Linked DNA regions of Macaca fascicularis. The protein of the gene in region 1 interacts with the protein of each later gene in a pairwise test. Links are inferred from orthologs where the notes say so. Each region holds a gene or a part of one and is shown in the gene's direction. Other genes may lie near its edges. The genes, in order: FXR2, MEAF6, NT5C2, RALYL, PSME3, EWSR1 and TBC1D22B.

What was found.
Region 2: the proteins of FXR2 (region 1) and MEAF6 interact in binary tests that used the Homo sapiens proteins (3 or more experiments, as listed by UniProt). The two-hybrid records come from large-scale screens. The link is inferred for Macaca fascicularis from reciprocal best matches to the Homo sapiens genes FXR2 and MEAF6.
Region 3: the proteins of FXR2 (region 1) and NT5C2 interact in binary tests that used the Homo sapiens proteins (3 or more experiments, as listed by UniProt). The two-hybrid records come from large-scale screens. The link is inferred for Macaca fascicularis from reciprocal best matches to the Homo sapiens genes FXR2 and NT5C2.
Region 4: the proteins of FXR2 (region 1) and RALYL interact in a two-hybrid assay, tested with the Homo sapiens proteins (2 studies listed by BioGRID and IntAct). The link is inferred for Macaca fascicularis from reciprocal best matches to the Homo sapiens genes FXR2 and RALYL.
Region 5: the proteins of FXR2 (region 1) and PSME3 interact in a two-hybrid assay, tested with the Homo sapiens proteins (2 studies listed by BioGRID and IntAct). The link is inferred for Macaca fascicularis from reciprocal best matches to the Homo sapiens genes FXR2 and PSME3.
Region 6: the proteins of FXR2 (region 1) and EWSR1 interact in a two-hybrid assay, tested with the Homo sapiens proteins (2 studies listed by BioGRID and IntAct). The link is inferred for Macaca fascicularis from reciprocal best matches to the Homo sapiens genes FXR2 and EWSR1.
Region 7: the proteins of FXR2 (region 1) and TBC1D22B interact in binary tests that used the Homo sapiens proteins (3 or more experiments, as listed by UniProt). The link is inferred for Macaca fascicularis from reciprocal best matches to the Homo sapiens genes FXR2 and TBC1D22B.

What each region holds. Positions count from the first base shown.
Region 1 is NC_088390.1:7,664,414-7,668,389, reverse strand, and holds the start of FXR2 (RNA-binding protein FXR2), read left to right. Parts: upstream 1-1,176; 5' UTR 1,177-1,541; coding exon 1,542-1,622; intron 1,623-3,976. UniProt on the Homo sapiens protein: mRNA-binding protein that acts as a regulator of mRNAs translation and/or stability, and which is required for adult hippocampal neurogenesis. Specifically binds to AU-rich elements (AREs) in the 3'-UTR of target mRNAs.
Region 2 is NC_088375.1:197,413,592-197,417,606, forward strand, and holds the start of MEAF6 (chromatin modification-related protein MEAF6), read left to right. Parts: upstream 1-1,215; 5' UTR 1,216-1,223; coding exon 1,224-1,313; intron 1,314-2,410; coding exon 2,411-2,526; intron 2,527-4,015.
Region 3 is NC_088383.1:112,133,141-112,136,640, reverse strand, and holds part of NT5C2 (cytosolic purine 5'-nucleotidase), read left to right. Parts: intron 1-941; coding exon 942-1,025; intron 1,026-2,340; coding exon 2,341-2,382; intron 2,383-3,500. UniProt on the Homo sapiens protein: Broad specificity cytosolic 5'-nucleotidase that catalyzes the dephosphorylation of 6-hydroxypurine nucleoside 5'-monophosphates.
Region 4 is NC_088382.1:94,051,792-94,055,886, forward strand, and holds the start of RALYL (RNA-binding Raly-like protein), read left to right. Parts: upstream 1-1,295; 5' UTR 1,296-1,524; coding exon 1,525-1,540; intron 1,541-4,095.
Region 5 is NC_088390.1:63,889,481-63,893,655, forward strand, and holds the start of PSME3 (proteasome activator complex subunit 3), read left to right. Parts: upstream 1-1,375; 5' UTR 1,376-1,459; coding exon 1,460-1,534; intron 1,535-1,622; coding exon 1,623-1,655; intron 1,656-1,779; coding exon 1,780-1,842; intron 1,843-2,036; coding exon 2,037-2,141; intron 2,142-4,175. UniProt on the Homo sapiens protein: Subunit of the 11S REG-gamma (also called PA28-gamma) proteasome regulator, a doughnut-shaped homoheptamer which associates with the proteasome. 11S REG-gamma activates the trypsin-like catalytic subunit of the proteasome but inhibits the chymotrypsin-like and postglutamyl-preferring (PGPH) subunits.
Region 6 is NC_088384.1:22,402,433-22,406,626, reverse strand, and holds the start of EWSR1 (RNA-binding protein EWS), read left to right. Parts: upstream 1-1,394; 5' UTR 1,395-1,449; coding exon 1,450-1,462; intron 1,463-4,194. UniProt on the Homo sapiens protein: Binds to ssRNA containing the consensus sequence 5'-AGGUAA-3'. Might normally function as a transcriptional repressor. EWS-fusion-proteins (EFPS) may play a role in the tumorigenic process.
Region 7 is NC_088378.1:134,372,258-134,375,757, reverse strand, and holds part of TBC1D22B (TBC1 domain family member 22B), read left to right. Parts: coding exon 1-74; intron 75-591; coding exon 592-662; intron 663-2,049; coding exon 2,050-2,178; intron 2,179-3,500. UniProt on the Homo sapiens protein: May act as a GTPase-activating protein for Rab family protein(s).

The sequences.
Region 1 (3,976 bases):
GATCCGCCCGCCAGTGATCTCGGCCTCCCAAAGCGCTGGGATTACAGGCGTGAGCCACCGCGCCCGGCCTAATTTTTGTAGTTTTAATAGAAACGGGGTTTCGCCCTGTTGAGGCTGGTCTCGAACTTGGGGGCTCAAGTGATCCACACGCCTGGGCCTCCTAAAGTGCTGGGATTACAGGAGTGAGCCACAGCGCCCCCGGCCGAAACTATTCTACTATTCTTAAAACTTTCTTTCGTTTCTTTCTTTTTTTTTTTGAGACGGAGGCTTGCTCTGTCGCCCAGGCTGGAGTGCAATGGCGCGATCTCGGCTCTCTGTAACTTCTACCTCCCAGGTTCAAGTGATTCTCCTGCCTCAGCCTCCCGAGTATCTGGGATTACAGGCGCGTGCTACCACGCCCGACTAATTTTTATGTTTTATTAGATGCGGGGGTGGGGTGGTTCACCATATTGGCCACGCTGGTCTCGAACTCCTGACCTCAGGTGATCCGAGGACCTCAGGTGATCCACCCGCCTTGGCCTCCCAGAGTGCTGGCATTACAGGCGTGAGCCACCGCGCCTGGCCAAAACTTTCATTGTATCACAATCTCTTCAAGGCAAGAGCTATGACTTAAATCTACTACAGCACAGTTACAGATTCTTAAAAGATAGGCGATGCATGCGCGCAGACAGTAAAGCTCAGCGCGTGCGCACCGAGCACCTTTTTCCTTGCGGCGACTTCTCTTCTTTTTTTTTTTGGAGCGTGCGCACCAAGAAAGACAAAGGTGGGGAAAGTGACCAAGCAGTCGTTCAGGCGCATGCCCATCCCTAACTTGTCCGAGCCCGGTGGGGCCAGCGGCGGCGGCGTGGGTGTGGCCTGAGCGCTGTGTGACTGTGCGGCCGCCGCCCAATCGGACTGAGCGAGCCCGGCCCCTCCCTCCCTCTGATTGGTTGGTTCTCAGGGTTGTGGGGCGCGGAAAGGAAGAGACGGGGCTGCTGGGCGGTGGGGCGGTGGAGAAAGAAGGCTAATTTTGTTCTGCGCAAGCGCGAGCAAGCGACCAGGAGGGGGCGTGAGAGAGTGAAAGGGAATGTGGAAGCCCCGATGCGCTGGCTAGCGCTAGCTGGGGCTCTAACCTTGACGCCTGCGCCGTGGCCCTCGGGGCCCCGCGCGCAGCGGGCGGGTGCCCGGTGCGCCTGCGCAGTAGGAGGCGGTGGCAGGGGGAGGTGGAGGCTGTGGAGCGGCAGCGGCAGCAGCGGGTCCCGGGACTGAGGCAGCAGCGGGGGCGGCGGCAGGCGGAAGCTGAGGTGACGAAGGCAGCGGCGGCGGCGGCCGTTTCCCTCACGGTGGCGGAGACCAAGGCGGCGGCGGCGGACGGGGAGCGGCCCGGCCCCGGCCCCCTGCTCGTTGGCTGTGGCAGGGCCGCCGTGGGGCCGGCCCGGCTCCCGCCCCCCGCGGCTCCCCCTCCGGCTCCTCCTCCGGGGAGACGCCGGGGGCCTGGCCCGGCCCGCACTCAGACTGCTGCTGCAGCCGCCGCCGGGGGAGTCGGAGGCGGTGGCGGCGCCATGGGCGGCCTGGCCTCTGGGGGGGATGTGGAGCCGGGACTGCCCGTCGAGGTGCGCGGCTCCAACGGGGCCTTCTACAAGGTGAGACGGCGCGCCGACTGGGGACGCCGGTCCTTAGCCCCCTCCCCCGGCCGGAGCAGGAACGCGTGGGGCGGGATCGAGCTTCTGGAGCTGAGTCCTGGCCCTTAGAATCTTAGACCCTTGCTCCCACCCGCAGCCTTCCCTGAGAGACCTCTTGGAGTGAACCTGTTCCTTTTATTTTTGAGCCCTTTAATGCACCTGCTTCTACCCCCATCTCAGGGAGAATGAACTTCAGGCCATTATTGTCCCTGGCTTGGCGCTCCCCGCTCCCCAGGAGAGACCCCTTTACCCAGCTTCTAATTGACTGTTTCCGTTGTCTGATGGAAGACATACCTTAGACCTTAATCACATCTTCCCCACGGTCCAGGCACATGGAGAATTGTCTTTCTTCTGCACGGTCCCCTTGGGAAGGCCCCCTCTGTCCCATATCGGATCCTTTCATCTTCCTCAGAGAGGCCTCTGCCTACTGACTCTGGAACACTCACCCCACTTTCAGCTTATATTCCGGTTCCCAAGCCAAGGAGAAATGGTCAGATCCATTTACGACGTTTGGCATCTTTGACCTCAGGAACCCTGGGTTGGATCAGTCAAGTTGCTTCTCAGCCAGCCATAAGGTGGCATCTTTCGCAAGTCTTTCACCCCACCACACCTTGATCTCAAGGCCCACTGGTCTACCATTCTACTCAGAATGGATTTGAGGTCTCACTTAGACCTCAGATACCTTCAGGTCATTCTTAGAGTTTCTTCGTCTTGAGGCATGTGAGCTTCATAGTCATGATCTCTAAAAGGATCTCTAAAAGGAAGCTCATGGGGTTCCCTTCTGTTTTTCTTAAGATTTCCACTTCTTGAAGACTCTTGGCCAACTATCCCAGTTCGGGAATCTGACAACCTTTTTTGGAAGAAGGGATCATCTTTCAAAGACCTTTCCTTATTTGACCTCCCCCTTTGCCCAGGATTTGGTTCCTTAGAACTCCTTATAATACCACCTTCCTTATCTGCTCTGAATCCATTTTCTAGGACATTTTTTTCCCATTTGGATTAAGCCAGAGAGAACCCTTTCTTGCCTCCCAAGAGTTTTTCTTCGACTGTTGCTATTCTGAACCTCTTTTGGATTTGATGCCTGGAATTGTCCCAGAGACTCTCCTGATTTCTGTCTCATTCTTTGATTTCACCTTGGGGAGCTGTAGAAGAGATACCTTCCCATGGCATTACTTGTTAAGAGTAGATCCCCCTTCCCCCTTTCCTTCTGTTCCCCTCAGGCCTTTCCCCCCCACAGTAGCCCTCTCTAGTTTCTCATGCCCTTGGAAGTGTCTTTCTTTGACTCCTTCCCTAAGTCATATTTTCTGTAACTGTAGAGGGTCTTGTAATTTCCCTTGGGTGGTTTCTGCCTCTACTTCAGTTGCTAAGTTCATTGTAGTCTTTTTTTTTTTTTTTGAGACGGAGTCTGGCTCTGTCACCCAGGCTGGAGTGCAGTGGCACGATCTGGGCTCACTGCAAGCTCCGCCTCCCAGGTTTACGCCATTGTCCTGTCTCAGCCTCCTGAGTAGCTGTGACTACAGGCACACACCACCACGCCCGGCTAGTTTTTTGTATTTTTAGTAGAGACGAGGTTTCACCGTGTTAGCCAGGATGGTCTTGATCTCCTGACCTTGTGATCCGCCCGCCTCAGCCTCCCAAAGTGCTGGGATTACAGGCGTGAGCCACCGCGCCATTGTAGTCATTTTTTACTTACTCTTCATACTTACCCATTTTTGCCTTACTTCCCTCATCAGATTTCTTTCTGTGCGGTGACTTTGGGTACCCATGTCTAACTTACTGTCTCAATTCAAGTTTTTGGCTTTTTCTCCTAATACTTCTGTATTCCTGTGTAATCCCCAGGGATCACCTAATTCCCTGTCTAGCTGAAGGAAGCTCCCTGCTGATCTCTTTTGTCATTTTCTGCATACTTGCCTAACTCTTGGGACTTTTTCTTCTAGCCTGCCTCCATAGCATTTCTGTTTTTTTTGGCAAAAGTCTCTAATTCCTTTCTGCTTTTGATAGAGCACATTTATCTCTCATATCCTTTTCCCCAAACTTGCACTACCTTTGTTGAAATACGCCTCCTAAAGTGGCCCTCCCTGTTTCCCTCGGTATCTTTTCCTTCATCTGGGTCCTTACCACCCCAAAATTCTGAGTTCCAAGAAAAGTCATTCTTAAGTTGAGTCCAAGATCAAGATATGATGTTTGCTTTGTTCTAGGAAGCACAGGAGCCCTGCACAGCTGGGAAAGATTGGTATCCAGTTCAAATGAACTGTATGAGATGGCTGGGAAGGGACACGTTTTCTGTTCTACATATAAGTGTCCAGCAGAAAGTC
Region 2 (4,015 bases), on another chromosome or scaffold:
ATGCAGCACAGAGGGACAAAAAGATAGAAAATATAGACGGTAGGTTAAAAATAAAGGTTTCTTATGTTCGAGTTCCAGAAAGAGAGAGAATATGAGACAGGCATCTGAAGAAAAATGACTGCGATTTCCCAAAACTGGTGGAAGATACCAACCCACAGATTATAGAAATCCAAAGACTTCCAAGCAAGAAACAAAACAAAAAGAAAAAATATCCCACTTAGACTTATGATAGCGAAATTGCAGAAGAGTGAAAGATGGAGAGCTGAGGAGGGAGAAATCAACAGGGGCCAAGTGAAAACAACGTCTACACCTTGGACTTAACGATAAAAGCGAATTCGTACTTGCAGAGTCATTGGCACCTGCCAAACCCCTTACACACATTAGCTGATTTACTCCTCACAGCAACTGTATTAAGTAGATTCTATCACTGCTTTCATTTTACAGATGAGGGAGTTGAGATTTGGTTATTTACCCAAAGGGGCACACTTTATCGATGTAGCGATAGGATTTTGAACAAGGTAGTTCTCGCTCCAGTTTTGTGCCCTTAACCACTACACATACTTGTTTCTCCAAAGGGCAATGGGAAAATGGGAAGCCACTGAAAGGCTTTAAACAGGGGAGTGATAACATTTGTTTCTGGAAGATTCCGGCACCACTGTGGATAGTGGATTAAATGGGGCTAAAGGTGGAAATAAAGAAGCTGTTGGAATAACGTAGCCCCAAACAGGGAGGGCCTGAATGAACTAAGAAGGTGGCAAAAGGCGCAGGCACAAGCAAATGGATTCGCGAGCTCTTCCGGAGTCGAATCCACAGGGCTTGACCTGGTATCGCGTTTTACTCCGGGTGCAGAGTGAGGAAAACCGGGTTTCTGACGCAGGCAATTGCGGTGGATAGTGAAAGTCATTCACTGAAGTGGACTGAGGCGGGACGCACAGGAGACTCGGAGGCCTGAGGACGAGCTAGGCTTTGGACACGGTAGATTTGTGCCGTCTGTAAAGCCCGCGGCCAGCCGAGGGGCAGGAAACGGCGTAAAGGGCAGAGCAGAAGCCGACTCTCTGGACCTCTCCGAGAAGGATCGTCCAGAGTCCCGGCCGCAGAGCACCTCTGCGCGGCGCTGCACGCGTCTCCGGAAGCCGCGCGCGCAGGCGCAGTGCGGGGGGCGCCCCCTGGCGGCGCAGGGACCGCCCCCAACCTCGCGCCGCCGCCGCCCGCCTCAGCCCAACATGGCGATGCACAACAAGGCGGCGCCGCCGCAGATCCCGGACACCCGGCGGGAGCTGGCGGAGCTCGTGAAGCGGAAGCAGGAGTTGGCGGTGAGGGGCTAGGACCGGGGTTGCCCGGCATGGGGCTCCGCGCCCGCCCCGCCTCCAGGCCCCAAGCCCGGCTGCGCCAGGCCGTTCGTTACTCCGGGGGCGCGGCGCGGCGGGCTGTGTGCTCGGCGGCCTGAGGCCGGGTGCGCATTCTGCGGCCCGCCGGCGGTTCAGCTTCCCGGCTGTGCGAATCCGGAGCCGGGAGGGAGCTGGGAGCGCGGGAGGGGGAGGGGCAGCGGCAGCCGCAGGAGGGGGCGTGGAGGGAGGACGGTGCCGGGGCTCGGGACTCGGGGAGAGGGCGCTAGGAAGGGCGAGGCGGGCGAGTCCGTGATCTTTGCGGGGTGGGGGTGGGGTAGGAGGCTAGTGTGGGAGGGGGACCGAGTCACCCTGTCTGGACTTTGGAGGATGGTGGGGAGCGTGTTCTTTTTGGTACTAGTAGTAGATCCGTTGAATGGAGGCTTTTGATAGACAGGGTTGTGATGTGTTTGGGAATATCTAGAAGGTGACAGGCGAGGGAGAAGAACACATTCTGGAGAATTCGGAATTGTGACAGGCACCCAAGGCCCAATGCACCCTGGTGGCTAAGCTCTTCCTGCCCTCACGTCTCGGCTTGGGCACCCCGGAGGCCCCTCTCACCTGAAGCTGCCCTTCCAGGTTTCCATAGCAACTGGCAGCCCGGTGCCGGCGGCCTCTCTGAGCCTGCGGGGAGGGGAGCGAGTTGACGCTGAAAGGCTGCTCACCCTTCCCTCTCCTGGTAGCGATACCTTTTGTGCGTGGGAGTGGATATCGCACAAGTTCTGCGTTAGCCTGGGTTCTTGACTCCTGGTTTCCGTGAATCCTCTAAAGTATATGCAAAATTTCGCGTGTGTGTGTATTTTTCTGGGGACATGCTTTATACATTCAGAGGTCCATCACACCCAAAGGTCTAGACTGTCTTAGTCCTAAACGGCTGCTCCTCCCCATATCATCCATCTCTCCACAGGGTGATTTAGTGTGGACAAGCTTGCGTTTACAAATCTAATATCAGGATTTCATTTTGGTCAGACTTAAGTGTTTGCATTTAAAAGGCATTATTCATGTCCTTGTTTTTCATCTCTCAGGAAACACTGGCAAACTTGGAGCGACAGATCTATGCTTTTGAGGGAAGCTACCTGGAAGACACTCAGATGTATGGCAATATTATTCGTGGCTGGGATCGGTATCTGACCAACCAAAAGTGAGTGTCGAAAGCCTGTAGTGTTCCTATTGTGTTCCTATTGTGTGTGTTTGTAGGACTGTAGGCTCTTAGTAGCAAGTTTGCTAGAGGCAGTAGTAAAGTGGTGGTGTGGTCTGGACTTGAACTCTTGGACTCTGGCTCAGGCACTGCCTCACTGAATAATCTTAGACAAAGCTCACGTCTGTAAAATAGCAAAAGTTGGGCCTTTGGCACAGGGTTGTGTGAGGCTTAAATACAGCATATAACAATATCTTTATACAACATCACTCTATTAAATTTTTTACACATTTTAATCAGTCGTGAGTTCTACCCTCACAGTATTTTTCTTTTCTTTTTTTCTTTTTCCTCCTGAGTAGCTGGGATTACAGGCGCATGCCACCATGGCTGGCTAATTTTTTTATTTTTAGTAGAGACGAGGTTTCTCCATGTTGGCCCAGCTGGTCTTGAACTCCTGACCTCAGGTGATCTGCTGCCTTGGCCTCCCAAAGTGCTGGGATTATAGGTGTGAGCCACCATGCCTGGCCACTTTTCTTTTTTCTAAGAGACAGGGTCTCATGCTGTTGTCCAGGCTGGAGTGCAGTAGCACAATCTTAGCTCACTGCAGCCTCAAACTCCCGGGCTGAAATGATCCTCCCACCTCAGCCTCTCAATTAGCTGGGACTACAGGCACACAATACTGCACCTGACTAATTAAAAACATTTTTTTTTTTTTGTAGAAGTGGGGTCTCACTTTGTTGCCCAGGCAGGCCTGGAACTCCTGGTTTCAAGCAGTCCTCCTGCCTCAGGTTCTCAAAGTGTTGGAATTAAAGGGGTGAGCCACCACGCCCAACTGACCCTCACAATTTTTGCCATACCTGTGTGCCAGCTGTACCACTGCTTGCTTAGTAATATTTTTAAAAAATTTCTAAACTTTTGGATTATCTTCAAGTTATAGAAAAATGGGAAGAATAGTATATGAACACTTGATACTGTCCTACCTGTATTCAGATTGTTAATGTGTTGTGACATTTGCTTTCTCTTACTCTCTATAATATTAATATAAGCACACACCTGTATTTACATTTCACGTTTTTAAATTGTGAAATAATTATAGATTCATAGGGAGTTGGCAGAATGGTCTTTTGTAGTCTTCATCTAGTTTTCCCCAATAGGTGTGTTGTTTTTTTTTTTTTTTTTTTTTTTTTTTTTTTTTTTTTTTTGAGACGGAGTCTCACGCTGTTGCCCAGGCTGGAGTGCAGTGGCGCGATCTCGGCTCACTGCAAGCTCCGCCTCCCGGGTTCCCGCCATTCTCCTGCCTCAGCCTCCTGAGTAGCTGGGACTACAGGCGCCCGCCACCGCGCCTGGCTAATTTTTTGTATTTTTAGTAGAGACGGGGTTTCACTGTGGTCTCGATCTCCTGACCTTGTGATCCGCCCGCCTCGGCCTCCCAAAGTGCTGGGATTACAGGCTTGAGCCACCGCGCCCGGCCAATAGGTGTGTTTTATATAAC
Region 3 (3,500 bases), on another chromosome or scaffold:
AAAATTTGTGGTTAATAGTATTGTACCAATGTTAATTTCATACTTTTGATAATTGTACTGTGGCTATGTAAGATGTTAATATTAAGGGAAACTGGAGGAAGAATATATGGGAACTCTACTTTTCACAGCTTTTCTATAAGTCTAGAACTGTTTTAGAATAAAAATTAAACACACATAGTGCCCCAAGATGACATACTTCTTTCTTTTCCTACAGAGTAAAAGTAGCAGAATACAGTATTTTCTCAAAGTACTGTGGTAAAGATTTCTTGTTTTCAGTTTTTGTGCCTCCTATTTTCACCCACCTCCCTTATTTCAAGAAAGAACACTGAATGGGGAGGGTCCGGGAGAATTTGAGTGAAGGAATGAATCTATTTGCTATGAGAGAAGGAAAAGGTATTTTTCTTTCCAGGCACGTGAGGGGTTAGAATTTCCTCATTTAAGCGCACATGGGTGTGGGTATTTCTAGGTAGCATCTGCACATGTCATTTCATTCTGCAAGGTGTTTTATAAAACCATAGTATACACACTGAAAGCCATATCTGATACTCTCTATGTAGAGCATGTTAAGTCAGCTTCTCCTGATCTCTAACATACCTCACATACTTCAAGAAATCTCAAGTTAATTTAAGTTAATTTAAACTCTTTCCTGAGGCAGACATCATGAGGAAGGTAGATATATGTTGTTAACAGCCATATAACCCTGATAAATATGTGTATAATTTTACATGTAAATCTGTTATATACACTGTGTATACTACATATGTTAACACTTTATTCATTTGTAGTGATAATGTGGGATTTTAAGTGCAAAATTCCGAAATCAGCTAACCCTTAAAAGGTTCCCCCATTCCTATTGTGGACAGAAATCCAGTATATGACAACTCCAAAGTATAAAGATAAAAATGTGTTTATGTTTCACTCATTATCCAATTACATTTCAGGGAAAACTGCCTTTGCTTCTGAGCCGGATGAAGGAAGTAGGGAAAGTATTTCTTGCTACCAACAGTGACTATAAATATACAGATGTAAGTGCTTAATGTTTATATTTGTTTATTTATTCAGTGGAATTATTTTGGCCTAAAGAACTGTGAAGACAATGAGGAGGATAGAAGTTTATTAAGTGAAAGTAGTTTCTTGCCTTCTCATTTTCAAAGAGTAAAAAGGCAAAAATATACAGGATAATAACAGTGGTTCTTAAATTTTTCTAGAAATTTATTTTAACCATTTTCACGGATTATGATTGGCTACTTGAAAATTTTAATCTTGGGGTTATTTAAAATATTTGTAAAGATTAAAATGGCTTTTGTGTCTCCTTGGAGCATCATTTCTATAAACTTGAGCAGTCGCATCCCTTATTGATGTGTATATATGACTTCCCTGCTGTTGGAAGACCTGCAGCAATAGATGGTGCACAGATGTTTGGGCTCTTAGCCATCAAAATTTACTACATCTTTTTTTTTTTTTTTTGTGAGACAGAGTCTCACTCTGTCACGCAGGCTGGGGCGCAGTGGTGTGATCTCGGCTCACTGCAGCCTCTGCCTTCTGGGTTCAAGTGATTCTCCTGCCTCAGCCTCCCAAGTAGCTGGGATTACAATAGGTGCCTGCCACTGCGCCCGGCTAATTTTTTTTTGTATTTTTAGTAGAGATGGGGTTTTACCATCTTGGACAGGCTGGTCTTGAACTTCTGACTTCGTCATCCACCCACCTTGGCCTCCCATAGTGGCGGGATTACAGGCGTGAGCCACCGCGCCCAGCCCAAAATTTACTACCTCTTAAAAACAATTTTTTCCCATGATTAAAGCATGTGGAAAAACTGATCTAATTCCTTAACTTCATCTTACTTTGCTGAGACACAAGTTTATAGTACTAGCAAGAAGTTCCACTTCCCCCAATTTGCTGTACATATAAACTTGATTTAGACACCTGGTGATTTGTAGTAAATAGTCTTATATAAACCATTGGTTTGTTGACTTAGTTGGTCTAGGGATGGTAGTAGCAAAGCCAAAGTGATAGGTTATCTCTGTGTGAGTCATTAGTTTTCTCTGTACCCCTACCTCATATGCTCCTTACCTCCAAATGTGTGTTCAAAAACATCTTCCAGAGGAAGTATGTATCCTCCCTGAGAATGTCAGAAGCCTTTTTTTCTTTTTGGTATATGGTAAAGCATTAATTTCTGGCTTCCACTGCCATGATTTCATAAAATTTAGAGGAAACAAGAATGTGGTGAGTCCTATGTTGAAGAAGACATGTTTTGTGAAGAGCTTGTAATTTCTTTAGGTTATATGCCTTTTGCAAAAGTAGTATATGGACCTTATGGTAAATTTTTTTTTTTTTTTCCAGAAAATTATGACTTACCTGTTTGACTTCCCACATGGCCCCAAGGTATGTGACTCAGTAGACCATTGCTTTAGTAATAATGAATGCATTTAATCATTCTGGAATATTAAGGGGGAAAGAATTGGTCAGAACCCACCCAGAAAAGTCCTGCTTTTTAAGCCTATTGTCTAATCTTCATTAACATTAGAATCCAGGAGCTAGTAGAATTTAAAATCAAATTGCTAATTTAGAGTCCACAACTTGAATACTTAGTAGACAGAAATAAAAGGGATATTCATGTGATATTTAGTAGGATGGGATCAGAATAATTTTATGCCCAAGAAGTTCTATGCAGAATTAAGTTTGTGTGGCAGTGAAAGGAATTTTCAGGTTGTGGAAGATATTTGATTTAAACAGAAAATGTGTGTATATTCTTGACAACTTCTAGATTTTGTATTAGTTGTTGCTAAGTTTTTGCCAAGACAGCACTTAACCTTGATATTTAGCAAAGAAGTCTTCATTTCTGCAGAAGGGCTGCACTTAGGTTTAAGGAATACTCCTTGCAACTTAGTCACATACTTACAGAATTTTAGTCCTAGACTTTAGTGAATAAACATCAGCAAATTCGTTTTGAGAACACCTGAAATCACAGGGTGCAGTGTCTTTCAGGTTGGTCTTAAAAGGTTAATGCCAGGGTTCCATTTCAGGATAGTCATGATTTTAATGGGCATAACTCATTATTAGTATTGTGATTAGCTTACACTATGAGCCAAAACCCAGTGTATACCTAGAGCCATCATTCTGAGAATGTAACCAGTAAAATCTCCTAATAGTTCCATGTTAGTTTGTATACTTGAGCTCTGATGCTGATCTACCTCTCTCTTAATCTGTCCCTTGGGTATTGATTTGCATCTCTTCCTAGCTCTTTTGAGCTCCTTTTAGCAAATTTCAGCTGAGCACACTTTCATATATTAAAGTGCTGTAAAATAAGTTATTGTAGTTTAGTAGTAGATGAAACAATTTAATGTGTAGAATACAGTTATTTATTCTTTATACCTTGTCTGCTTACCAAAGGATATGGCTTATAATACATAGACACAGTACTTTTTTTTTTTGAGGTGGAGTCTCGCTCTGTTGCCAGGCTGGAGTGCAGTGGCACAATCTCGGCTCACTGCATCCTCCCT
Region 4 (4,095 bases), on another chromosome or scaffold:
AAACGCGCTTCATTCCTTCTTCCACCGCCATACTGTATTTTATACTAAATCTCATTTTTATTACAACATTTTACTCCCGCTCGGTGAGTACCTTCTCAGTGGCATTCTTGTCCTATTCTTTTTTTTGTCCTTTTTTTTTGTTTTTTGTTTTTTGTTTTTGTTTTTGTTTTTTTCTTTTTTTCCACTTCTTTGATTATTGTTTATATTTGGGAAAGCTGGAGGAGCATGATTTTGAGCCTTTTCCTGAATCCAAGTTTTTCTAGCATGCGATCGTTCTGTAGACAAGGCGCTGTGTCTCGGAGTCCGCGGCGACCGTGCCCGCTGGGAGCGTCTCCCAAGTCCAGCAAAATGTGCAACTGGTTTTATGGAAAAAGCGATGTGAAGTATGGTGCCTATTTTTTTCCTTTGTAAAAATAAAAAGCATGTTTCTAACTCTTTTTTTTGCATACTCTTTTTCTGATAACATTTTTGTATAGGTGGGATTTTACGGCAGTGTTTACAAGTTTGTGGTCTTGCAATACTGGTGCAAACCACTGAGCAAAGACATTAATTTTATATTTTTGTGCCCTTTTTGGAAGCCGGTGAGAACAAATTCGTTTTTTTCCCTCCTGTTTTTGATACCCATTGATAACATGAAACTTTTCTTACAGCTGGTGACTGGGATCATTTTTAAGCAAAATACTTTTTTCCTCCTTTAAATTAACTATGACTTTTGCACATTTGACTTTTTTAAAAAAACCGAGATAATTTTATGATAGATATCCTGATATCTATATCTATATTGTCCCTTATTTCTCCCCCTTCCCTCCCCGTAAATCAATTTTCAAATGATGGCAGTGGAAGGTTTTTCTGGAAAAAAAAAAAAAAAAAAAAAAAAGAAGTGCGGTTTGGTTTCCTTGTCAACGGAGGATGAAGTGAACAGCTGAGCAGCTCGCAGAGAGCAGGTACTTGGTCCCCTTGGAGGCGTTTCCCGGGTGTGCAGTGGCAACACTGGTCCTAGCAAAGAAATGTGTGAGTGTGAGTGTGTGTGTGTGTGTGTGTGTCTGTGTTTGCGCGCGCGTATCTCCGGGCAGTGTCCGCGCCGGAGGTGGGGAGAGCCGCGCCGGGAGCCAGGGAAAACCAAAGTCAGTTCCCGGCTTCAGGATCGTTTTCTAGATGTGCACAAAATACAGTCCCCTCCCCCCACCCCCCACCGTGAGCTGCGCCCAGGTCATCTCCCGGCTGGGCGGGTGGTGTCTGCGCTGCGGTCGGCGCCGGCCGGGCACTAGGTGGCCAGCGGGCCCTGTAAGTTCTCCGAGGGCCACTTGCACAGCAGGAGGGGCGAGGGCCGTGTACGTGGCGCGGGCCGTCGGGCCGGCTAGAGGGGACCCCCAGAGCACCCGGGAGATGGGGGAAGAAGCGGCAGAGACCGCATCTTCCGGAGGGACTGGCTCCAGGCCACGGGGGCCGGAGCTCGAGACATTTCCAGAGCCTTGAGGATGGCACCGGCCCCCGCACGCTCAACTCCTGCTCCTCCTCTTCGCAATGAGTAAACGACGCAGTAGGTCTTTCCCAGCCTATTTTGCTTTTCCAAAGGGCTTTGCTTTCTTAGTGGTGCTGTCTTTGGATCTTTTCTTTATGCCTGTTGTGTTGCGTTGGTTTTAAGTGCCTGCTGGTGTCGTCTTCCAGGGAATGGGGAAATAGTTTCTTATAAGATGGTCACTTGGGTTTAATGTTGAGGACGACGCTGTTAGTTTGCAGTAATGACCCTACAGCTGTAAGGTATAAAAATGCCCCTTATTTAAATTTTATTAGAGGGAGAGTTTTCCCTCTTTTTAACCACCTGATACTGGCTCTAAAGGTTTTCCCCTGAGAACTGTGTACAGGGCAGGAGTGAGGGGTTGGTGATAGAGGTGATGATTTCGTGTGTTGGTAGCATTGAAATACTCAGTGTTGAATGTATTCTATTTTATGATTATCCTGTTACATGTTTTCAATATAATTTAGCATTACTTTTCAGAGATGGACCAGTTCGCAATAAAAAGCCTTTTCTGTATTTAACACTGTGACAGAATCTGCTGGAAATTTTTCTGTCCAAATAAATTTCGTAAAGGCATACATCTTAAAATCTGGAGAGTCACCATTATTTAAATACTTTGATTTTCTTACCTTTCCCCCCCTTAAATGAAAAGCTTAGCTTTAAATTATCATGTGTATGTAGTTTGGATTCTGTAAAATAAACATAAGGCAAATGAAACAACTTTTTACCTCTCGGATGAAGTTTTCTTCTGGGTAACTACAGAAATAAAAACTGACTCCAACATACAGAGGGGCCCATGACAAAGGGGTTTATAACATACACTGGCTTTTTCAAGCAAATATTTCACTGTAACCTCAGTTTGTGGAATGAAAAGTTTTATGCCTTATTTTTTACTCTTTGTGGTCAAAAAGTAAGGAGTGCAAAGGGCCATTTATCTGTAGAAGATTAAAAGTTAGTGTAATATCTGGAAAGCTATATATATTTTTTATTCACAACTCATGCAAGTATCTCAAAAGTCTTTGGACATTTCATTGTATGTGAGGTATTTTGTTCTCACAGTAGCTTTTCCCTGTGAAGGAAATCCTCTTGCGTTTATATAAAGAAGATAGTTTATGTCACTGTCTGTGGACACCATATTTGATATCTTGATGTGTATAGTTCTAAGATTTGAAGCCAATATGATGGCACTAAGCCTGAAATTAGGATTTTCTTATTTTGTATAGTGAGCTAATTACTAAAATATATGGTTCAAACAGCTAACATATGGTTCAAATAGCTAACATAAAACATTTGAAAAGCCATTTGCAACATTCTGTGATTTTAAAAATCATTTAAATTATAACAATGTATGTACATAGAAGTGCTTATTTATTAAAAAGCAAGACAATTTGTGTGTATAATATATTTTTGTATGTTTTATGTGTTGTATGTCGTTTAGTTCTTTTAAGAGAGAGAGAGACAGAGCAAGCAAGCAAGAAAGAGCTTGAGTGATCGAACCTGCATTTTCATTAAGAGTATCAGTTGCTGCCCTAAGGTAGAGGTAGTTTGTGTCTTAAGATTGGACAAAACACTAGCTGTATTGTATGATCTTTCCCAATGAGATTGAAACCATTAATGGGACCAAAGACGATTTTAATGTGAGGACAGAGAGGTAGTTGGGCTTTAATTTCTGTAACTTAAGACCGTTCTAAGAACCTTTGGTTATCTATGTTTTCATTTATTTAAGATTCATTTTTGATTATATTGTATACTTGTATTACATTTGTGCCTATTACATTCAAAATTTTCAAATTTCTTCCTGTGTGAATCATACTTGGAATTCTACAACTCTTAAACTGGCCACCTGTTTAGTTTTTGATTTAAAATTGTTGAAGGTAGTATCCTACATTTAGCACCGCCTACTGGCTTCTCGTGGAAAAAATACATTTTTTCATTCGCCAAGAAACCCACAGGGATTTACATCAATTTAATTGTGCAGATCTTTTCAACTGCTTACTGAGAGAGAAGGAGGGAAAAAAAGTTTGTATGCTGTAAGGAGAGAGGGTTTCCAGGGTAAAGGTAGGGACCGAGAGAAAGAAGACCCACAAATTAAATTGGCATTGGATCACTATCTGACCTCAAACATTTTACTGTCTCAACTGTGACAAAGAAATAATCACAAAATGAAAACCTATTAAATTTTCTAGGACTTTCTATGGGATAATAAAATGTGGGTATTGTTTAAAATCTTGGATTACTAAATTAATTTTACAGTGTCTTTCTCAATCGATATAAAGAAAGAAAGTTCTAGTTGGAATTCTGTCTTGAGTGTGTGGTCTGTCGAATAATATTTAAATGAATAACTTTTCATCATTGAAGATTAACAATTAATTATTTTTATATGTATTTTTCATGGACATAAACAATCACGTAGCACCCTAATTTTTTTCTTAACATGCATCAAATAGTCACACTGTGTTGTTGTATATACAAGGGGGAAAAGTTCCAAACATACAATTATAAAGACACATCCTTAGCCATAATAGATGCGTTACCTTTCTTAAAAATGATAGTTGGTTTATTTTCTCTAATTTGTA
Region 5 (4,175 bases), about 56 Mb from region 1:
CTAGAATCTGAGACAGTGCCCTGGCCCATTTTATTGAATGAAATATCCAATGTCGAGAGAGAGATCGAATGAATGGGTGTATGAAGAGGTATAGTCTTAAGCTTCCATTAGGCAAATAGATACAGCACTGCCATAGAAGTTAGGAGATCTGGGTCCTGGCTCAGGATGTACTGGAAACGCCTTGGACAAGTCTTGCCCTACTCTGGGCATCAATTTGCCCATTAGGTAGTTGATCTTTGAGGTCCGGAAGCTTACGACAGTCAGTTGGCAGGGAAATGTACCAGGAAAGCTTGGTACAACCGCACTTGTGTTTTTCGCTCTAGCCTAAACACTTGAGCCTGGCAAACGGGCAGAGGCAGCGGGAATCAGGGACTACACCCCGAACCCAGTACCCGGGTCCCCGACTTCCCCGAGCCTACGTCACTGGGGCGCGACGGCGCTGTCCCCGGGACTGCAGCGACTGAGGTCCCTTCGGTGAAGGCGAGTTCCGGGCCAACAGAGAGGGTCGCACCGTTTCCGAGTCTTTCGGAGGCTCAGTTTTCAGCGCACCATTCCCCACAGCTCTCCTTTTTACTTCACCCCTACCCAACGGGAGGAGCATCCAAACCCGAGTCTCATCGCGGCTGCGCAGCGCACGTGCACAGCCTCGCAGGAGTCTCGGCGATTGGCTGTGACGCAGTTTCCGGCGTGAGCGGCGAAAGCCGGGAGGGCGAGCGAGAGAGCGACCAGGCAGCAGGCTGCCGGCGGGCGGGCGGACGGCACGGAGGGAGGGAGCAAGCGAGCAGTGAGTGAGCCAGCGAGGGCGGCCGGGTCCCGAGGTCAGCCGAGATTTCTCAGGTCCCTCCGGCCCCCTCCCTGGAGTCCACAGCGCCTCCGGTGTCCAGCGGATCGGACACGGCCCGGCCCGGCCATGGCCTCGTTGCTGAAGGTGGATCAGGAAGTGAAGCTCAAGGTAGCGGCACCGGTCCGGCCTTTTTGCCCCTCGCTTTGATCCCCCAGCAGTCTGACTGGCTTCCTACTCCCCATGTCGTCTTTGTCTCCCTGGGGATACCAGCTCTGAGCTTCCGCTCAACTCAGCCCAGCCCCCAACTCCCGGGGTCGGCTTCGCGGGAGGGGAAAATATAGGATGGCTTTCTGTACCGCGTCTGATGATGGAGAGTCCCGGGGACACCTCCGCGGACACGTGTTGGACTCAGGGCTTTAGGCCAGTGACAGCTGGAAATCCCCCAGCCCAACAACGTCCCTGGACACTGCCCCTGCCCTTGGTGGCTGGCCTGCCTGGTATCATAGGCCAGGTCTGGGTGGGGGTTGGCACGTTTGTGAGCTCACATCTTTCCTAACTACCTGTCTTTTGTCTGCTTATCAAATTCAGACAGCTTCAGACACAGGAGGGAGGGAGGGGAGAGGAGAGAGGAGACAGGCAGGTGCTGCCCTCAAAGCCCTGCTTTCTTCTCCTGAGATGGAAAAATGGATCCTCAAAAAAATAAAGTATTTGCAGTCTGGGGGCCTCTCAGCTTCTTATTACAGTTACAAGGTGAGGGAAAGACAGTTGGATTTGGGATTCTCTATCCTGCTCTTACCTCTGTCCCCAGGTACTGAATTGCTCTCTTTGTTAATTTTAGGTTGATTCTTTCAGGGAACGCATCACAAGTGAGGTGAGTGAAATAAATAGAAAAATGAGTGTTGGTTGAGAGTTTCCCAAAGAGGAGATATCTGTAGAGAGAGAGAGAGAGACCTTCCCACAGATATTAATTCAGCTGTATTTTCCCTCCTCCTTAGGCAGAAGACTTGGTGGCAAATTTTTTCCCAAAGAAGTTGTTAGAACTTGATAGTTTTCTGAAGGTGAGAGACCCTTTTCTTTCCTCAAATTCCCCTATTTTTTTGGCCCTGGTATTACTGTCAACTGGAACTAATTGTGTGTTGATTCTTCTTTTTATTTTTTTAAACTGTAAAAGCGCTTTCATTTCTTGCTCTTCAATCAAATACTTCTTTGTTCAGCTTGAAAAGATTAATGTTTTGGGGTGGGTGTCTTTCAGGAACCAATCTTAAACATCCATGACCTAACTCAGATCCACTCTGACATGAATCTCCCAGTCCCTGACCCCATTCTTCTCACCAATAGCCATGATGGACTGGATGGTGTAAGTGTCCTATATTTATCTTTGTGTTCTTGAGCAGTAGGTCCTCTGTCCTCTGTTTCCTTGTCAGTTTAAGATGTACAGAGGCAACAGTGGGATTTGGATCTGGGAACTAGGACTGTTACAGACATGATGACTCTAGTATAGTTGTTTTATTTCTTATTTATTTATTTATTTTTGAGAAAGGGCGTCACTTTTTTTTGCCCAAGCTGGAGTGTAGTGGCGTGAGCACTGCTCACTGCAGCCTGGACCTCCCAAACTTAAGTGACCCTCCCTCCTCAGCCCGCCAAGTAGCTGATACTACAGGAGTGTGCCACCATGCCCAGCTGATTTTTGTATTTTTTGTAGAGACAGGGTTTCACCATGTTGCCGAGGCTGGTCTCAAACCACTGAGCTCAAGTAATCCACCCGCCTCAGCCTCCCAAAATGCTGGGATTACAGGCATGAGTCACTGCACGAGGCCTCCGGTATATTCCTTTTAGACCCTGAGTTTCATTTACGATGTGAAGTGAATGTGCTAATGCTACTCTCAGTGTTAGAGTGAGTTTCAAATAAAAGAGAACTAGCTTTGGCCAGGCGCGGTGGCTCACACCTGTAATCCCAGCACTTTGGGAGACTCAGGTGGTTGGATCACGAGGTCAGGAGATGGAGACCATCCTTGCTAACATGGTGAAACCCCATCTCTACTAAAAATACAAAAAATTAGCTGGGCGTGGTTGTGGGCGCCTGTAGTCCCAGCTACTCGGGAGGCTGAGGCAGGAGAGTGGCATGAACCCAGGAGGCGGAGCTTATAGTGAGCCGAGATAATGACACTGCACTCCAGCCTGGGCAACAGAGCGAGACTCTGTCTCAAAAAAAAAAAAAGGAGAGAACTAGCTTCATCAGGTTACCTGGTTTTTCCCATGGTTCTGAACAAGACTTAACTTTGTTTCTGTGTCTTGATAAGTGTTATGGGATATGAAGTTCTTGCTGTGTAACTGCAATCGCTGTTTTGCTGTACATCTTTAACAGCTAGTCCTTATCAGTCATGTGTCCGCATGCTGCTATAACACTGATGATACTGAATTGTTGTCTGTAGTACCGCCTCATTGACAGAACTTGTACGTCTGGAAGGCAAGAACTACCTTTTTTTTTTTTTTTTTTTTTTTTTGAGACAGTCTCACTCTGTTTCCTAGGCTGGGGTGCAGTTGCGCGATCTCAGCTTCCTGCAACCTCCCCCTCCCGGTTTCAAGTGATTCTCCCACCTCAGCCTCCATGTAGCTGAGATTACAGATGCGCGCCACCAAGCCCAGCCAATTTTTAAATTTTTAGTGGAGACAGGGTTTCACCATGTTGTCCAGACTGATCTCGAACTCCTGACCTCAGGTGATCCACCCGCCTCAGCCTCCCAAAGTGCTGGGATTACAGGCGTGAGCCACCGTAGTCGGTCGGCAGGAACTATCTTAATCTTTGTATTCCCAGCACCTAGTGTTGATCCTGGTCCATAGCAATTGCTGAATGCATGGTTGTTGACTGAATAATGTGTTCCTTTGTGGAACCAGAAGATTTGTACGTATTCCCTTAATTATCTTCCCTGCTTTGATAGGTTCTTTTTTCCTATTCCTTGTAATACTTAATATGTTGTATTTCTGGAAAGATTGGTCTTCCCAACTACAGCATAATTTGCTTTGTGGCAAGAACCTTTTCTTTCTTTTTCTGAGGGGGGACAGAGTCTCACTCTGTCACCCAGGTTGGAGTGCAGTGGCACAATCTCAGGTCACTGCAACCTCAAACTCCTCGACTCAAGCGATCCTCCTACCTCGTCCTCCCAGGTAGCTGGGACTACAGGCACATGTGCCATCACGTCCAGCTAGTTTTTGTATTTGTTTGTGGGGACAGGGTTTCCCTGTGTTGCCCAGGCTGGTCTCGAGCTCCTGGGCTCAAGCAATCTACGTGCCTTGGCCTCCCAAAGTGCTGGGATTACAGGCATGAGCCACCGCGCCTCGCCTCCCAAGAACCTTTTTTTTTTGTTTGTTTGTTTTTTTGAGACAGTCTCGC
Region 6 (4,194 bases), on another chromosome or scaffold:
GGCAAACTCCTATTTTACTCTTGGAAGCCCAGCTCAAATATCCCTTCCCCTCCTCTGGCCCCCCAACATCAGGGATCTTATCCTTAGGAGCACAGCTTGACCAGTCTGTCTCCCTAGGCAGGTGGTCTGAGCTCATGGCTCCTCTGATCAAACCCCACCTTTCCCAGGGTATTCGCAGCACACAACCAGTGCTTTATATATGTTCACTGAAAAAAGGACACTAGCTTGACTCCTGGTCCTGCTGAGGGATTTGAAGGTGAACCCTGCCCTTCGTAGACCCGGGTATCCAGCTAGGGGGCTGGGGTTAGAGGTCCAGAGAGGTGGGCAGGGCCAGCCTTGCCTGGAGGCAGGGTTTGGGGCCAAGACACCCACCGTAAACCTCCTCCTGTATCCTCACCTCACAACCATTCCCCAGCTCTGGGCGCCTTAGCAAGGGTGAAAGGCTTGCCCGTGGACACTCGGAACTGGGACTTGAGCCCCCTCGACCTCACTTTCTTCAATCTATGAAACGGGCAGTGCACCACCAGGCCCTGCCTACCTTACTGGGAAGCCGGGAGGGCAGAATGGAAAGACAAGGACGAAGATTCTTCCGGGTGGCGGATAGAGTAGGGGGTCCCAGGATCTGTCTGGTTCGAACTCAGCTGGGGACTTTGCAAAGATACTCAATTTCCTTGGACCTCAGTTTCCCCTTCTGTAGAAACAAGGGTATTGGATGAGGGATGATTAAAGGGCGTGCTCCACCTCGACCGTTACCGGGGACGGGGTCTCGGGGCCAGAAACGGCGTTCGAGGCCTCCCACCTAGCCGACCGGCCTCGGGGCCCTTCCCCGCTGGCCCGGGCCACGCGTCCCGGGTACTCACTGCAGAGCGCGCCCAGCAACCCCGAAAGGCCGGTCGGGGACCCGGGCTGGGAGTCGGGACTCTAGCTCCCGGGCGAGATCGGGGAACCCTGAATCCATTCCGCGCACACCCGGCCGCGTGACCCCGGCCGACCGGCTGGCGCGCCACCCATTCCCCGCGGCCCGCAGATTAGTCAGCAGTTGTTCTAGTCCGGGTCCCTTCCCCCAGCCCTCCCGCCGATCTCCGTCTGCCTGCAGGGCAGACTCTTCAGCGACGGTCCCTAGAGCCAGCGGACGGAACCATTCCAAACAACCTAGCCTCGTGAAGAGAGCCTCTCCGGTTTCACACTGAGACCCGCTCACCGGCGCTCTGGCCCCTTAGGTGCTATTTTGGCCCGAGTGTCACGTCGGGCGCTCTTTAGAGAGGATTGGGACAAGGGTTGCGCACGCGAAGAACGAGAAAGCGGTGGTTCATCCCTCCTGACCCCACCCCCGTGGCCTGGCCTGATGGTCGCGCCCGGGGTTGCGGGATTTGCGCCTGCGCAGTGCGGCGCCTAGAGGGAAAGCGAGAGGGAGACGGACGTTGAGAGAACGAGGAGGAAGGAGAGAAAATGGCGTCCACGGGTGAGTATGGTGGAACTGCGGTCGCGCTGGCGGTAGCCGGAACGCCCAAACTGGGGGTCGTTCGTCTCTGGGCTTGGCTGGGAAGACTGAGTGGAGTTGCCGAGAGGGGTTTGAGGCACCCGCCGCGACCCGACGAGCTCGGGGATCCGCGTTCCTCTCCCCTCCCCCCACCGGGCGGGCCGGTTCTGGAATCTTCCGGCGCCCGCGGCGCGCAGGGGGCTCGCTGCGGCGGTGGCGCGCGGGGCCCGCTTTGGCCTCCATTGTGTGGCGGTCCTCGCGCCCTGCGCTCCGGGCCTCCCGCCACGTGGGCGGGGCCTGCGGCCTTCGAGGCCCTGCGTGAAGCGGAGGATTTGGCCAGGCCTCGAGCCGGTCACTGTGAAACCGCCGGGGAGGCCGCAGGCTGCTATCCCTGTGAGGCCTCCCTCCGCGTTTTCAGGGTTTCCCGAGAAACCAGGGAAAAAAGCAAAGAAAGATACCGTGGATTTGTGGGCCGAGGGGTGCCGGCCTATGAGCGGGAGCCCCGTCATCTTTAAGGCCCAGTCGGCTGGGGCGTCTGGCGCTGCCGAACTGCCCCCTCGGCGTCTTCCAGCCCCAAGCCGAACTTCTGCCCTCTTGGGCTTTAGACAGAATGTGCTTCCCTCCTCCAGGGCCCCCAGTTTGCCACTTTTTTGGGTTTCTCTATTTTTATCGTTATTTATTAATTCACGCCCTCCCCTCCCCCAAAACCAATTAAGTGGCTTCCCAGGGCCCTTTTTCTGCAAACGCCGAGGGACATCCGTTGTATAATAAGACCAGCCTGGATCGAGAGACGAGAAATGCTACCAGGAAGGTATTTCTGGCCTCTCTGACCTAGGAGGAACAAAAGGCCGAGCCTGCATTTGAATTATATTTCAGCAGTGGTCTCGCACGTTTATTCGCCTGCGTTAGGCCGGCAGGCCTGTTGATTTCGTAGGTCGACAGAGGTGAGGGAAAAGAGGCCAGTAGAGGCGATCTTAAAGGCACTTGAAAGCAAGCCCCGGATGGGAACTCCTAAATGGGAGTAGAGTGGTCATTGATGGAAGGAGCATTTAAGAGTGTCGCCTAGCCACCACCTGCAGTTCGCAAGCTGTGGGTACACTAACCCGCGGAAATTGGCAGGGTGGAGCATTTTTGCCTCTGGGGGTATTCTCAGGCCACCTGATTCCAGGCCTTAGAGACAGTGGGAGAAGATGAGAGGGAAGACGGGAAAAGCTCTGGACCCTCCAGAGTTTTTAGAGTCCAGAATCCAGCAACTTAAGGACAGTTTAAGAATTCACCCCATCTGTGTGGTCAGTAAACAGGTAAGTGTTGGGTGTTCTTGCTGGGATACCAAAGAAGGCCTGTAGAAGAGAGGACTCTGAAATACCACAGCTAAACCTCCTGGTGGAAAGTGGTTTCCTAGGTTCCCTATCCACCCTCTTCTCCTCTGCAAAAGCCTGAAAAGGCATAACGTGTGCGTTGACATTTTTGCATGGCCGGACATGTCTTTTTTTCAGTCAACTTTGTTCAAACCTTGTTCACTAGTAACTACCATGTGCTTGTACTGTATTAGAATTACAGTTGTGGTTTCTGTTGACACAAAGTAAACACATTAGGCCTGGCTGGGGGGCCTTCAGAGAGTCACATAAGTAATCTGGGCCTTAGTTTCCTTTCCTGTAAAATACAGAAGTTAGGCTAGACCTGTTAAGCTTTTGAGCCTTTCTGACCTTCCTGCATAACCATTCCACAAATTTGTCCCATGCTGACTTCAACTCAGGTAGTGTGAAGCAACTTCCATAGTGACTGCTATAAAGTGTTAAAGCATTGCCTTGGGTTAATAATAATAGAGGTTTTCTCTCCTCGTGTGTATCTCATGTAGAAAAGACTCGCTGCAGTCTAGAACCCCCACCCCTCAATCACAGTGAAGTGATTTTTAGTGAAGTCTTTGGCTCACTTTTGGGGGTTAAAAACAAACACGGTTGTTGAATAATCTGACCAGTTTGTAATTGTATTAGGTTGGTGCAAAAGTAATTGTAGTTTTGCCATTTTAGTGACAAAAACCGCAATTACTTTTGCACCAACCTAATAGCTTGTTTGAGGTCCAGTGATGTTTGTGTGCTCTAGGAAGATAAACTTAAGTTCATGAAACAAATTTGCTACCTTCCATAGCCCACCAGTTAGTATAGGGCCGAATCCTTTGGTTTCTCACTGTTAAGAGGTCATTAGTTGTTCCATATCAGCTTTGCCAGTTTTATGTTTTACATAACTGCTATTGTGTAAAAGTCGTCTTGCAAACTGTACTTACATGTCGGTGATTTAGAATCATTTCTCAAAGACCTTAACAAAACGTGGATTAAAATATTTGATATTGAATGATTCATTGCTGTGTATATTTTGTATATGCCACGTGGAAGAAATGATTTGCATTTAGTTTTAATGTCACAGAGAGTATGACTTGTAGTGCTATTGAAAATGCCTTTAAGATTGCCATGAACAAATTATTTTTTCATTATAGGTAGCCTTTGGGCAGTTGATTTGATCCTCTTGGTGATTCAGGGTTTTGAGTTACGAGTGTGTACAAAGGAAAGAAAGTAGTCCACTAACGTATAGAGGGGTAGACAGATAAGCCAACGTGAAGAGATGGATTCAGCAAAGCTCTCTCAGGCCGCCCGAGGGATTGTGAGGCTGGCTTTGGATTGCGTGAAGTGGATGCAATAAAGAGCTGTCAATTGTTG
Region 7 (3,500 bases), on another chromosome or scaffold:
CCCAATGACTGTCCGGGAGAAAACCCGCCTAGAAAAATTCCGTCAGCTTCTCTCCAGCCACAACACTGACTTAGGTGAGTCCCTGTGAGCCCAGGCAAGGTAGGAGCTTTTGGTGACTGGAATTCTCAGAGACCTGGAAGCTACTGCTCTTTATTCTTCCTTCTTTTACTTTTCTAGCTTCTCCTGACCTGGTGCCCATTGCAGTGACATGCAGGTATTAAGTCAGACATATGTTACTAGAGATTATGGACCAAATTAGGTGGGACTGGTTTCTGTGACCTGTAGACCCTAGTGCAACTATTCTGACTTTGATCTCCTCTATCTCATGGTGACTCTTGCTGAAATCTACACCCACTGGTCTTTCTCTTCCCCTCTAACTTTCATCTCTGAGCTGACAGGACTGCTACTGCAAGGCCATGTCCTTGGCACTTGGCTGCTCAGGGCTGTTTTGGGCTTTTCCCTGTGCTTATGGGTAGCAAGTGGTGGTGGTGGTCTTACATGAATGGAAGGAGACATCAGGCAGTGCTGGTTGCGGTTTGCTTTAGAGCATTTGTGGAGAGTTCACCTAACAAGGCTGTTTTCTGTTTACAGATGAACTGAGGAAGTGTAGCTGGCCAGGGGTTCCCAGGGAGGTTCGACCTGTAACCTGGAGACTCCTGTCGGTGAGTTCTACCTACTGTGTAGAGAAGTGTGAGCCTCACACAGCCCTTCTTGCCTGATGAGGTTAGTCTGGACACATTGGTCTTAACTCCATAGACTTCTCTAGTCCTACTGGATATGACAGAACTATGGGACTGTAGTCCTATTTCTGTGCATAAAGAAACACTTTCTTGAGAGTTTATTCACACACATGTAGAGGTACACAGACTTGTACCAATAGTCATGGTCTCACGTTATTAACAGCGAGGAAGAAGAATAGAGTGAGTGAGATAGGGTGACCCCAGCACTTGCTTTGAGCAAGCTCAAACATTCCCTGTGCTTTACTCCTGTTTCAGTTGGAGTAACCAAAAGTTGAAACCCACTTTGATCTGTAAAGAGTTGATAAATGGGCCTCCCTTGGAAGCCTTACTAGTCCTGCTTTCACCAAGTACAGAGCACTGTGCCAGCCGCTACGATAGGAACACTTGGGTTTCCTGAGCCTGTAAAATTCATTCATTCATCTAGTGAGGATTGATTGAGGGTCTGCTGTTTGCCAGGCATAGTGCCAGATGCTCTGAGCAGATACAAAAATGAATAAACCACAGTCCCTGCTCTCCAGGCACTCACTGTGGAATGCATTACATAAATGTTTTCAAGAAGAAGGGTCTGTCTCCTGACTGCTCGCCCCACCTCTACTCTTGCAACCATGTAATCATTGCCTCTGCCACTTCTAATCAGTTTGAATGCTATTCAGAGTAGATTTGGTGAGAACGGAAGGGGAACAGAAAATATAAGAATGAAAGTGGGATCTAGACCAAGGATAAGAATGAAAGTTGGCCTGGAGCTTTGGCTAGGCTGGGGGCTGCTGCCAGAAGTTCTGTCTGAGTGTTGTAGCTGTTATGTCACGGATTCCATTCAGCTGCTTCCTAAGCTGGTAATTCTGAAAGTTACACTGGAAAAGAATGTAACTGGCACCAACTTACTTGGCACACTGCTGAGATGTGCTGTAGAGGTTGCTATATCCCTGCATTTCTCAGAAGTATGGCCCTGGACACACGCAGCCCTCCAAGGCCATGACTTGGGTCCAGCTCCCTCCCACTGACCTACATTCACTCCTGTACTGTGCCAGCTCTGGGAGCTGAGGAGTGCTCACCAGTGGCTCAAGCTTCAGCACAGTACAGGGCCAAGGGAGTAAATAATCCTGGGAAAGCTGGCCTTGCTTCATCTGCTCACATGTGGATCTCATTCAATGAGAAGAGGGCAAAAAATGGGTGGCCAGAACCAAGAAGGGATTTACCCTTGGCAGTTTTCCTTCTTGATAGTTTCCAAACCACTGCATAGATTAAAATAAAAATTAAGGATTTATCCAACCATTGTCTTTCCCTATCTGACCAGCAGTCTTGTCTATAGGGCTATCTCCCAGCAAACACTGAGAGGAGAAAGTTGACCCTGCAGCGGAAGCGGGAGGAATATTTTGGCTTCATTGAACAGTATTATGACTCTCGAAATGAGGAACATCACCAGGATACCTACAGACAGGTATAGTCATCACCTGCTGCCTCTTTGCTTACCAGTCATACACTTTAGGTGTGTCTCATGGTAGTGCTCTCAGGGTACAGGCTTTCCAAGTCCTCAGGCTGTGGTATGTTGGTTAGGAGTTAAATTTATCCTCAAAACTGTTTCCCCTCTTTTCATTCAGCAGCTCTGATTTTAGCCATTTTAAATAGACAGACTTTTTTGGCACTAGTCAGTGCGGTGCTTCTCAAACTTTAATGTACATACAAATCACCTAGGATTTTGATACGATCTCACCTAGAGATTATGAGAAAATGCAGATTCTGATTTAGCGGGTCTCGGGTAAAACCTGAAGTTCTAATGTGCTTCCTTGCAATGCTGCTGCTGCTGGTCCACCAACCACGCTATGAGTAGTAAGAGTTATCGAGTATGGAGAGGAAAGACAAGCTCACTTAGCAGTGGTCCAGTCCCTCTGGACTATGACATCCGTATGTCTTCCTGGCAGCTGCAGTGCTGTTTCGGCCTCTGTGACTGTCTGTAGGAGCTGTAGCTATCAGTAGTCTTGTCAGGGAGTCTTCCGTCTGCCCATAATGGTCCTCATGGTCTGCAGAAAGGTCTGCTCCCAACATCACACATGGAGGGAGGAGAAGAGTAGGCCAGGGGTTGCAGAAAGTGAAAGGTGGGCAGCTATCTACAACAAGCCTCAAGAACTGAAGTAGCCTCTGCTGCTGCTGCTGACACATTCTTTTGCATAGCTAGACTGGGCATTGGGAAATCCCCGAATTGAAATGGACATAGTGACGTCTTAGGTAACAGAAGTAAGAACTTTCAGCTTCAGTTACTGAAGGCCAACTGCTTTTGGTCCTTCCCCACTTTTTTTTTTTTGAGATGGAGTCTTGCTTTGTGGTCCGGGCTGGAGTGCAGTGGCGTGATCTTGGCTTACTGCAGCCTCCGCCTCCTGGGTTCAAGTGATTCTCCTGCCTCTCAGCTTCCCGAGTAGCTAGGATTATAGGCATGCGCCACCAGGCCCGGCTAATATTTTGTTTATTTTTTTTGAGACGGAGTCTTGTTTTGTCACCTAGGCTGGAGTGCAGTGGTGCAATCTCGGCTCACACCAGTCTCTGTCACCCAGGTTCCACCAATTCTCCTGCCTCAGCCTCCTGGGTAGCTGGGATTACAGGCGCACACCACCATACCCAGCTAATTTTTGTAATTTTAGTAGAGACAGGGTTTTGCCATGTTGGCCAGGCTGGTCTCGAACTCCTGACCTCAGGTGATCCACCCACCTCAGCCTCCCAAAGTGCTGGGATTACAGGTGTGAGCCACCGCACCCAGCCCTAATTTGT